2 linked regions of the Arabidopsis thaliana genome follow. The protein of the gene in region 1 interacts with the protein of each later gene in a pairwise test. Each region holds a gene or a part of one and is shown in the gene's direction. Other genes may lie near its edges.

Region 1 (7,174 bases):
CAAACTAGACTGCTTGGAGAAAGCTACACAAATTGACGTGGTTTATATCTTCATTTATTAAACATCATTTAATTTAATTTTAATGTTTATTGGATAGACACATATAATGAGAGAATATCCTGAAGCATTCACAGTCTCCATTCTCTACATTCTATGTATTTCAATCGTGACCTCAATGATTGGACTAGTAGTCGAAAAGAACAACCCAAGCATTTGGATCATTCATTTCGATATTACATTGTTTACAATTGTTACTACGGTATGTTATATATATGTTAAAGAAAATTATCAAAATATTTTCTTTTTGATCTTAACATTAATTTTATTTTATATGTGTAAACTATTTCAGGGAATAATAACTTCAGTATACTATGTGATTCATTCATGGGCAATACGTCACAAAAGACCTCTATACTTAGCGATATTTAAGCCTCTGTCTATTTTGATAGCAGTGGTTATGGGGACCATTTTTCTCAACGATTCTCTCTATCTCGGATGGTATACTAATCAATAGTCTTCATACACATATCTATAAAGAAAAAAACCATTATGTTCATTTTTGATTTTGTCCTTCATTTTGCAGTTTGATTGGAGGAATTTTGATAACATTAGGCTTTTATGTTGTGATGTGGGGCAAAGCAAACGAAGAGAAGAACAAGTTGTTATCATTTTCAGGAAAAGAGAAAACCCCTCTTCTATTGAGCGGCAAAAACGACCAAATTTAAATGAAAAAAAATTTATAATCAAAGGAGTTACAAACTCTGAAATAGTCTCTTATATACATAGCGTGCAAACTATTAGTGTATACTGTGTATTGCTTTGTATATAACTTAGAAAATGACTATCTAATTGTTTTTTAAGTTACGGGTACGTAACGACTATCTAAATTCGTTAGATCACGACATCTAACGAATTTTGGTCGATTTTAAGTAGTATCGATTTAAAGATTTGTAAGTTAATTAAGCAGCCAAATAGAGGCATTGGAAAACAAATGAAAATATTTCTGATAGTAACACTGGAGAGGTAGGACGAGGTAGGATCAATACATGGTCAACCATTTGCTTAAGAAATGACTACAAAAGAAAATATATATTTTTACAAGAGAGATTAAATGGTTTGTTAACATGATCATGTGAGTTTGGTGAACGGTTTTATAGAAACAGAAACACTTTCTTTAAAATTCTTGCATTATCGGTTTTTACTATCACTATATTGTAAGTTTTGCAACAATAATGATCTTTAAGAAAGAAAAATTGTACTGATACTTTTAATTTTTTTTTAAGTTTCTTTGAACCTAGCATGTATAGAGTGGTTGGGAAAAGGAAACAAAGGTGTAGCTTTTTGATTTCTTTTGTTCCTTGTACTACAAAATTCATACATAAATTCTCAAATTCTAGAGAGAGATTAAATACTGAGTTAACACTTTTCCTCAACTCCAACATATGGAAACTTAAATTGATGTTTTAGGTTCGATTAGTAACACAAAATATTATGTATTTTACCAAAAAAAATAAATGATAAAGAATACCATATTAATTAAAAATGATATAAAATAACGATAAAATATCAATATTAAAATGAAAATACAGTCTTATGTCCTTTTTAGTGCCGTTTTATGATTGGTAAAAACGATAAATCTTATTCATTTTTCACCAAAAGAATAAAGAATATTATAAAGTCAACAAACGATAATTATTGGACCTACATAATGCTATTCTTTATATTTGTAACATCAAGAAAAGCAACAAAAAGATAATGAATTAAAGAATCACATTTCATACAACCTTTCTATCATTTTCCAATAATGGCCCGGACAGTAAGTCTCTGGCGGAGAGAGGCCGTGTTCTTGACGGCCATGCTGGCGACAGAAACCGGCGTAGTCGGAATAAGTACTTTGTTTAAAGTAGCAACTTCAAAGGGACTCAATCTTTACGCTTTCCTCGGCTATTCTTATCTTCTTGCTTCTCTCCTTCTTCTTCCTTCTCTGTTCTTCACCGACAGGTTTCTAGTAACTTTATGAGTTTATTTTCATAAACATTTGGTGGTATTGATTTCATTTATTTATTTTTTGTTTTTCTTTACAGGTCAAGATCACTTCCTCCACTAAGTTTGTCAATACTTTCTAAAATAGGACTTCTTGGATTGCTAGGGTAAAAACTCTTACTAACGCAATCTTTTTTCCAATCTTAAGTATGAAATTATGTTCCTATTTGCTAAACATGTGATTTTTTGGTGGACAATCTAATAAATGGTTTTGGCTGACAATAAAAATGAACAGATCAATGTATGTGATCACAGGATACATAGGCATCGAATACAGCAGCCCAACCTTAGCCTCTGCCATTAGCAATATCACTCCTGCTCTTACCTTCATCCTCGCCATTATCTTCAGGTTTGATATCTATATTTTTTTTTCCAATTATTTGCAGATTTCAGATTGTTCTAAAAGCAAACTATTCTAGTTCAGGTGTCGAAATCGAAACATTTTCTTTCCCGGGCACAATTGGCTAAATAAGTCAACTTAAAATTGAATATTGTTTTTTTAGTTCACCAAATTAAGTTTTTTAAAGTCGGGTCATGTTACTATGTTAGGTTTTACAAACCAATATATTTTGCTAACCAAGCTTTTCCTAATTTGGTAATTCCTAGTTGCCCTATGCGGCTATGCTACCCACTATCTCAGATAAATATACTGTATAAACGTACTGTATAGTGAATTAGGTAAACGACGAGTAGTGAAAATTTAATTATAAATAAATCCAACTCTTTAATTATATCATTACGTTGCATTAAACAACCACAGTAAACATAATAAATTGTTATTGAAGCGCAATATTCTCCGTTATAAATAAACGTATTGATTAGTAATACTCTTATGTTTCTTATTAATTAATATTTTAGGAAAAAATTTGTTACTAAAAAATTGATTTTTAAGCTTTTTATTTAATATTAATTATTTCTTATTGATAAATATTAAACTCCAAAATAAATAAAATATTATTGATTTTGAATTATTAAAAATATAAATCATAAAAAATAATACATTTATAATTTGTTTTTAATAGGTTTTCTTAATATGTGTATTTTTCCAAAAAATCAAATATTAAGAAATATTATCTTAAGGAGATTAGCAAAACTACCTTTTTTACTACTTTTTTGCAACAATACCTCTTTATGTTGTCCATTTTACAAAATATCTCTTTCCTTGAACAGAATGACCGAATTACTCTCATCTAATAGGAACATGTAATTGGAAACTGAAATTTTTCCGCCAAACTTTTTTTCTGCCAAAAAACAAATTTCCCGCCAATTTGTTTTTTTGTAACAATTTTTTTCTCAACTAAAATATGCTTTTAAAAATCCTTGTAAATATTTTTTGGCGGAAAATAGATTTACAAGGGATTTTAAAATGGTTTTAAAATATTTACAATGGATTTTAAAAGGGTTTTAAAAGATTTACAAAGATATTAAAAGGTTTTAAAAAGATTTACAAGAGTTTTTAAAGGGTCTTTTTGTAAATTCTTTAAAAATCTTTTAAAAACCCTTGTACATCTTTTAAAACCCTTTTAAATCCTTTAAAAATCTCTTGTAAATCGTTTAAAACCCTTTTGAAATCCCTTGTAAATCTTTCAAAACACTTTTAAAACAATTTTAAATCCTTTAAAAATCTTAAAAAAAACTTTTGTAAGTCTTTTAAAACCCTTTAAAATCCCTTGTAAATCTTTTTAAGCCCTTTTAAAATTTCTTGTCAACATTTTAAAACCTTTTTAAAATCCCTTGTAAATCATTTAAAACTCTTTTAAAATTCCTTGTAAATATTTTAAAACCCTTTTAAAATCTCTTATAAATCTTTGAAAACCCTTTTAAAATCCCTTGTAAATCTATTACCCACAAAAAAAAACTCTTTTTGCGGGAAAATGTTTTTTAAAAAAAAACTTTTGGCGGGAAAATATTTTGATTGGAAACTTTTGGCGAGAAATTTATTTTGAAATAGTTTAGGCGAAAAAAATATTAATATTTCATTTTATTAATCTAAAACAATTTTTAAATATGGATAAAATGATAATTAAAAATTTAAAGAGAATAAAATTAAAATGGCTAAAAAATAAGGGTAAAGTTGAAAATGAACACCAAAAAAAGGATATTAGAAAGAATTTTTCTATATCTTACTGTGAAATTTAGTACCCCAAAAGTAAAAAAGTAAGTTACTGTTACACATAAACTCCACAAAAAGGCTTGCATATAAACGTTGGTAAATAAATCATAAATGTCAGCATCCCTGTTTGTTTGAAAAAAAAAAAAAAACTGTTTGTTTGCATTTCAACAAGATGCGTATGAATTCTTCTTTCTTTGACTATTTATACCTTTCTTTTTATTTTGGAATCCATAAAATATAACACAAATTTTTAATTTGTGGATAAAGAATGGAAAAAGTATCTTTCAAAGAAAGGAGCAGTGTAGCCAAAGTGATGGGGACGATATTGTCGTTAATAGGCGCACTTGTTGTGGTTCTCTACCATGGTCCACGTGTCTTTGTTGCATCTTCTCCGCCGTATATAAACTTCCGTCAGCTTTCTCCGCCGTTATCATCTTCAAATTCAGATTGGCTCATCGGCGGAGCTCTTCTTACCATAAGAGACATCTTTGTTTCTGTTTCTTTCATTCTCCAGGTACAAATTTTTGTTCTTATACATAATAGAAATAATACAAAGTGTTGGATATGTTCCATGCAAAAGAGACTAATTTTGTTATCGGAGGCAGAATTTTTAAAATACAACAGACTTAACCGAGGAAAATTAGTTCAACCGTAAACCCACTGGATCCTCGAACCTAGGCCAAATAGAGAATCTAACTTGAAAACAAAAACCCGTAAAGAATTACCCCATACCAGCAAAACTCATGTGCTATCACAAAACAACGTACCATCAAATTCTAGGTTAATCAATAGATGATGGCAGGCCTGGCCCGCCAATAAAGCAGGAAAGCAACTGTTTTAAACCACACAATGTAGTCTAGTGGTTAGACTTTCTATAACTTAGTCCCGATTCACAAGTTCGAGCTTTTACTAATATTATTTGCTCTATTTGTTTTTGCATTCCTTTTCATCCTTTTTTTCTTTTTCCAATCCACATATTTTAGTTATGTTTGAGGCCACTTAAAGTTAAGGACCGGCCCTCGATGATCGAGTTGGTCATAGACCAATCACTATTTACTTACCTATAGAAGAAAACTCTCAACCATAAACATTGGATGTTAAAACTAGATATAGGCATACAGGAAGAGGCGGCCATGGGGTCAAGCAAGACAAGCATGTTTGAAGTCGAAATAAATAAATATATATATATGTAAGAGTATGATAAAGTGACTAATAAGGTGTCAAGTGGTCCGTTTAACGTCCAATAGGTTTGACCATTTGGACCATTTTTTTTTTGGGGTTTAATGAACGGTCCATAATGGTTTATGGTCCAAAAACTTGTCCAAATCCATGAAGGATAACCATGTCCATTGGATATGTCCATGGTCGTCCATTACTGTACAAGCTTCCTGTTTGATTCAAATTCATCTCAATTCATCTCAACCGCATGATAGTGTTGGATTCTAAGAGTACTAATATCAGTGATATGTGCGAAGTTGGAGTCCCATTATAACCTTTTGCCGAAAATATATAATTTTTCACTAATAAGAGGCCCTAGTAATTATTGTTTTGCTTGGAGTCATGAAACTCGTAAAGCCAGCTCTGGAAATAGCTGGGGTTTTGAAGTTAATCAACTATCTTCATACATCAAATATCAAATTTTGTTTTTTGAAAGAAGGTTGAACATGCATATATAATTTCAATGTTTATTCTATAAAATGTATTTGGCCAGGCAAAAATAATGAGTACATATCCAGCAGCATTCACAGTCTCCTTCCTCTACATTGTATCGGTTTCAATCGTGACTTCAATGATTGGACTAGTAGTGGAAAAGAACAATCCAAGCGTTTGGATCATTCGATTTGATATTACTTTGATAACAATTGTAACTATGGTACGTTGTACATAATTTTAAAAGATTACCAATATATTTACTTTTGATCTTAACCTAGTATTTTATAAAACATTTCAGGCAATAATTACTTCAGTATACTATGTGATCCATTCATGGACAGTACGTCACAAAGGACCTCTATACTTAGCGATATTTAAGCCTTTGTCGATTTTAATAGCGGTGGTTATGAGCGCAGTTTTTCTCAACGATTCTCTCTATCTCGGATGGTATGTGATCACTCATCAATTGTCTTCATTAATTATACACATTTATAAACAAAAACATTTTCAAGCTTTTGCTTCATTTTGCAGTTTGATAGGAGGACTATTGATAACGTTGGGGTTTTACGCTGTGATGTGGGGTAAAGCAAACGAAGAGAAAGATCAATTGTTGTTAGTTTCAGGAAAAGAGAGAACCCCTCTTCTATTGAACGGCTAAAATGGCCAAATTAGAATTAAAAATAAATTAGAACTAATTTACATATTCTTAGCCACACTTTTGGGTAATGTGTACATGTATATTACTACTGTATTTCATGTTGCGCTTTGTTTATAACTTGAATAATTGTTTTAACCATGAAGTAAAGACACTCTATATCCATGGTTAGTAAATAAGGTAAATTGCGTACAGTAGCCGTTGACCCACTTTTAATTTCAAATTTTGACACTGTGGGCTGGGCATTTCATTTCTTAGCCATTCAGCCAAAAACTGACCAAAATGCCCTGACGAAACTGAACCCGGTTTGTACGTACGGACCGCGTCGCTGGAATCCAAGAGAACCGGGTTTGTACGTACACTGTTCATCGACGAGAAATGCATTAAATATTTTCTGGGTTTCGGCGAATTTGACACTTGAGATTGAAATTAAAATTTTTAAAAATTGGTTGGGCTCAGAAGTTTTTAATGCTAAAAAGTTTTGACAAAACTAAAACTCATGATTACCTATTATAATATAGATTATATTGTAAGATATTTACATAATTGAGATTAGAATTCTGGGAAAAAAACGAAAATCAAAATTGTGTTACGGTGAAGAATCTGAAGTTTTTAGTTGCTGTTTTACAAAGTTTGAAGGATTGAAGGGGAGACAATCTGTGTTCTAGGTAAGAAATTCGTGTTAATCCTATTAATTACACTTGAGAACG
Region 2 (4,908 bases), on another chromosome or scaffold:
AATGAAATGAAATCATGGCTGACCTGCTTTGTTTTACCAATGTTCTCTCTCAGCGTCTGCACATCTTGAAGCTGAGGTGACACAGAACCCTTAAAAGCTGATTCCATAACTTCGAGCACACTACATATGCCAGCCACCTGTTTGGAACACCTTAGGAGTTTATCTAACCACGCTTGCATCTCTTTTGTTTCAAGATTATCTGAGGGCCAATATTAAAGATAGACAGACCTTACGGTGCACAAATATACAGTCTTAAGAAACATAAAAATATTAACAGCTAAAAGGATACAGATTTCTTGAAGTTCAGCTAAGGTGCTCCGGAATGTACGCTTGACCCAATCCTTGACAACAACTTCATCCAGCAAGAAAGCAATGACCGGATCACTAGATACAGCTGTCTCATCCATACAGACATTGGTGATATCTATTAATTTTCTGTCAAGGAGATGTCAACTATGCATCCAACATAAAATACCTCTTAGAGAATGAATGACAAAAACACTATGCACATTTCGCCCAACAGAGACAAGCATGAAACAAGAACTACCTAAAAATACATGAACCTATCAGTACAAAACTCCCCATATAAACACAGTTCCTAATAGCACAAGCATACGAATCTAAAAGAAATTCATGAAAGTATCAAACAGGAAACTAAAAGACTAAATGCATATATCAGACACCAAGCATAAATGCAACTGAAGGATACAATGGCAAACCACCGAGATCAAATTATTGTTCATAGCAACATCAAACAGAGAATAAAGGCGATGAACATCAGCTGCCAATTGATGTTCATCCTCATCCGAATCCTGTGACGCCTCTTCATGTGTTCGGGAAATCAAACCAGCTTCAACACACTCATAATAGAGACGAAGCCTAAGTCTATCTCCAAATTTTGGTAGCGTACTTCTACAGATAGGACAAACATCACACCTCTGACAACACTCTGTGCACAAGGAGGCATGACCACATGGATTCAACACATAGTTCACAAATCTTCCACAGCTAGCTAAGTCTCTTGTTGCACGACATCGCTCAACTTTTGCCTCATTACATAATTCTCTGAGGTTTATAGATGCCAAATGTTTCAACGCCTCCTGTAAGTTACAAACAATAAATTCGAAATTAACTCTAAGCTCTGCAAAACCCATTTTTTTAAGCTGAACCTAGAAATCCTAAGACCTGAGCTAAACTAATTCAGTGGAGAAATAAAAAGGTATAAAGCGGAAGAACCTGAACAGGCTTGCTACTGTAATTAGGCTGCGTAGGAAGAGATATCGATCTCGCGGCGGAGGCAAAACCGTTGATTTCTCTCGTATCCATCTACTCCGGTGACGAATACAAAAATGGAGGTAAAGAGAGAAAAAGCGTGGTTGGTGTTGGCGAGAGTGATAAAACCAGTCTAGGGCTCCGTTGAGCTTTCTCGGGAGGGAAGACGAAGAGAGGAAACACTGTTGAGTGAATTTCTCCTCAAACGGGTCAAGTCGGATTGTTTAATTCGGGTCAAATTTTAAATATGGGCCTTTCTTTTTGAAGTCTTGTGTGAATCTTGTGATTGTCTGGGCCCAAGTCGGCAAATCACGATTCGGGTCAAAATTTAAATATGGGCCTTTGTTTTTGAAGTCTTGTGTGAATCTTGTGATTGTCTGGGCCCAAGTCGGCAAATCACGTGTCCGAAAGTGAACAGCGCGTGTTTTACCGACTTGCTAAGAAAGCGCGTGGATCGTTCTTTCTTTAGTTTCTCTTCCTTTCCCAATTGCTTCCACGACGACGGAGGAGGAGAAGCAAACCCAGAAACCTTAAAAATTCAGAAAAAGGGACGACCTTTTTTCCGATCTTATCGATTTTTGAATGAGATTAGAAGAACCTATCTTCTAAGTTTTTCTTTGATATCTTTTTCTCTTTGATCGATGGATGAGTCGTTCGCTAATCTACAATCAAGCCATTTGCTTGGTTCAGTTCCGGTAAGTCTATATTACATCTATTGCTTCTTTCATTTCACCATCAATAAGCTCTTTGATTGAGTTTTTCTATGATCCTTGTTTGTGTGAAGGGAAAATTAACGTTTTTTGTTCATGCCATCATTTTGTTTGTTGTTCTGTCTCAAGTGTTACATTAGGAAGTAGAATTTTGAAACTTTTCAGATTTTTTTGTCATATTTTTTCGCGTCCACGATGATGCCTAAAGTCTTCACACTCATAGAACAATGGACGATTTCCTTATTTGCATTTCTGGGTTTCTATATTTGTTAAGGCGTTTTATTTAAGTTTTTTCACCATTTTAGGAGACAATTCGTATGAAAAACAAAACTGTATTTGAGTTTAAATGCTTGCATGATAGCTTCATTTTGGATTGAATCCGCTAAGATAAATGTTTTGAGTGAATGGATTGACTATCCCCGTGTTATTATGTCTGATACAAACATCTGTATTCTTAGGCTGTGATCAGCGACGACAAGAGAAGCACAAATGTACCAATAGCAAGCGTCAATGAAGGTGTGTTCTTTTGCTAGTTTCTGCTTGAATTATCTTTTGCAAAGAACTTTTCCGGTAGTGAAAGACATTGAGTGTTGTATGTCTTCTGCATTATTGCAGGCCCTTCTGCAAGCATGCAAATATTTCCACCGAATCTAGGAAACAATACAAAGGGTTATCAAACTCTTGAGAGCCCAACAGGTATATATGCTCCTTTTAGATTCCTTTTTTAGGAGATATTTTTATCTGTAGTCACCATGAATCAGTACAATGGTTGAAAGAATACTTGTGTGAGTCAACCTCGTTTTTCTTATGGATGTCAAGATCCTATATACCTTTGTTTTCACCTTGTTCTGTCTTATATGGTGATATATCTTATCTGCTCCAGTAGAAGGACCAGCACAACAGCCATCAAACAACTGGAAGGGCTTTTTTAATGTCTACTCATATACCCAATACTTCGACGTGGACACGGACGTTGTTTTGAACAGATTAATGAGCTCTTTATATCCTACTAGTGGAGATTTTTTCAACAAGATTGATGCAAACCCTGATTTGTAAGTCTTTTAATGCCTTTTTCTCCTTCACTCTTCTTGGTGATTGTACTTACCATGAGAGAGTTCTTTCGAATTTCTTTAATCGGTCCATTGCTCAGTCATGCCGTTAATTTGTTACCGTTCTAAGTGTTATCTTCTGCACCTTTCCGAAAGCATGATCTTGCTATTCATTTACTCCTATGTTACTTCAGGCGATTGATTAAAATATCCTCATTTTCTCTTGGACAAATGAACAGAAAGCATCATAATATGTTATCCTCTAAAGATTGGCTAAAAGCTAGGCCTTTCACAAATTATTCTTGATTAATGACTCGTGTGTGCTTCTGTTAGGTATGGACTTGTCTGGATCTGCACTACGCTTGTGTTTGTGCTTGCTTCTCTCGGAAATTGTGCTACATATCTCGTGAAGAAACGAACCGACAGTAATGCTCCTTGGATCTTTGATGTGAACTATATGAATTTGGCAGCATCTATAATATATGGATATGCAATAATTGTGCCTCTGGGATTTTATTTTGCACTCCGTTATATGGGGTCCAAAGCTGATCTTCTAAGATTCTGGTGCCTTTGGGGATACTCTCTCTTCATTTTCGTTCCAACCTCTGTAAGTATCTTCAGTAACTTCGGTCTCTTTTGCTGTTAAAATTAATCAATTGATGATCAGTAACACTAAAGACAAATGCATATACTTGATACACAATGGTTTGGTAACTTCACTTTCAATGACCATGTACAATGACATAAATCAACCTAACTTGATATCACAACTTTATACTTCATACTGTTTAAGCATAATAACACTCAGGATGTTCTATTTTGCAGCTTCCATTGCTTATTCCAGTAGAGTTTCTGAGATGGGTGATTATACTCTTAGCTGGTAGTGCATCATCGTGTTTTGTTGCCCTGAATCTACGGTCTTACCTCGAGACGAACAATGATATCACGGTTGTAATGGCTGCAGCATTTGGTCTGCAAATGGTTCTTTCAATCTTCATCAAGGTCTGGTTCTTTCCTTAATCTCCATGAGACGGTCAACACCAGACAAAACATATATATGTAAAAACCTTTAGATTTTGATGTGCTGCGGTAGAACTAAGAATGTCGTTACCAGAAAATGAAACCCACAAAGTAGAAGAAGGAACATATCCGCTAAATCATTCGGTTTCGTTTTTACTGGCGGATTTTCATCGTTGCTTGTAACGATTGTGTTTTTTCATTTTTTGGTTTTGTTTGCTACCACTTATTTTGCTTATGGAGTAAAAATATATAAAAGAAAAAAAGGAAGTTTTCAAGATTTATTGCAATTTACTCTCTTTTGTGAAGAGTGGAGGAGAGTGTTGAGTTATGATTCTGTATCTTTTGGTACATTTTGTAGTCTTTTGAATGTGGCAGAAGATATCACAGAATGGACTATAAAAGTATAAACCTTTTTTGAGTACAGAGCATGTGAAGTATGAAAGAAAAAAGCCAAAATGTCACATTAGATAACCTGTGAATTATCTTTATTTCTCCTTTGAATAAAAAAATGGATAAAGTATCTGCGAGATTTATCATTTATGAACAGACTCGATTTACAGGTCAATCTTACTCGCTAATAAGTTATAATTGATTTGTTCTTAAGAAACATCACCAGCACTTACAACAAGAATCCTCAGACTTTTAGTTAATGAAACATGTTAGGTAGAATAATGGGCTGCGCAGTAGTTATGGGCCTACTTCACTGGCCTATTGGAATAGATAAAAATCACATTTTGGTTTTTTTTTTTTCTATCTAAACTCAAATATTGTTGTGTTCTAAGCACACATACAATATGCTCTAACGAAATCTTATCAAGAAAGAAATTTTTGTTGCAAGTTGTAACCATGAATTTTAC

The links. The genes of interacting proteins can lie anywhere in the genome.
Region 2: the proteins of UMAMIT45 (region 1) and AT2G39805 interact in a protein complementation assay, tested with the Arabidopsis thaliana proteins (one large-scale study listed by BioGRID).

Annotation. Positions count from the first base shown.
Region 1 is NC_003074.8:10,454,347-10,461,520, forward strand, and holds UMAMIT45 (nodulin MtN21 /EamA-like transporter family protein), read left to right. Parts: upstream 1-1,682; 5' UTR 1,683-1,804; coding exon 1,805-2,001; intron 2,002-2,084; coding exon 2,085-2,150; intron 2,151-2,278; coding exon 2,279-2,392; intron 2,393-4,423; coding exon 4,424-4,670; coding exon of another isoform or gene 4,671-4,811; exon of another isoform or gene 4,812-5,867; coding exon 5,868-6,029; coding exon of another isoform or gene 6,030-6,044; exon of another isoform or gene 6,045-6,107; coding exon 6,108-6,256; intron 6,257-6,340; coding exon 6,341-6,467; 3' UTR 6,468-6,654; downstream 6,655-7,174. Other genes in the region: UMAMIT47 (nodulin MtN21 /EamA-like transporter family protein), read left to right, coding at 98-259, 350-498, 584-725.
Region 2 is NC_003071.7:16,609,359-16,614,266, reverse strand, and holds AT2G39805 (Integral membrane Yip1 family protein), read left to right. Parts: upstream 1-1,712; 5' UTR 1,713-1,913; coding exon 1,914-1,967; intron 1,968-2,440; coding exon 2,441-2,498; intron 2,499-2,597; coding exon 2,598-2,678; intron 2,679-2,865; coding exon 2,866-3,034; intron 3,035-3,364; coding exon 3,365-3,638; intron 3,639-3,856; coding exon 3,857-4,051; 3' UTR 4,052-4,368; downstream 4,369-4,908. Other genes in the region: HOS1 (ubiquitin-protein ligase), read right to left, coding at 24-199, 290-424, 710-1,100, 1,237-1,326.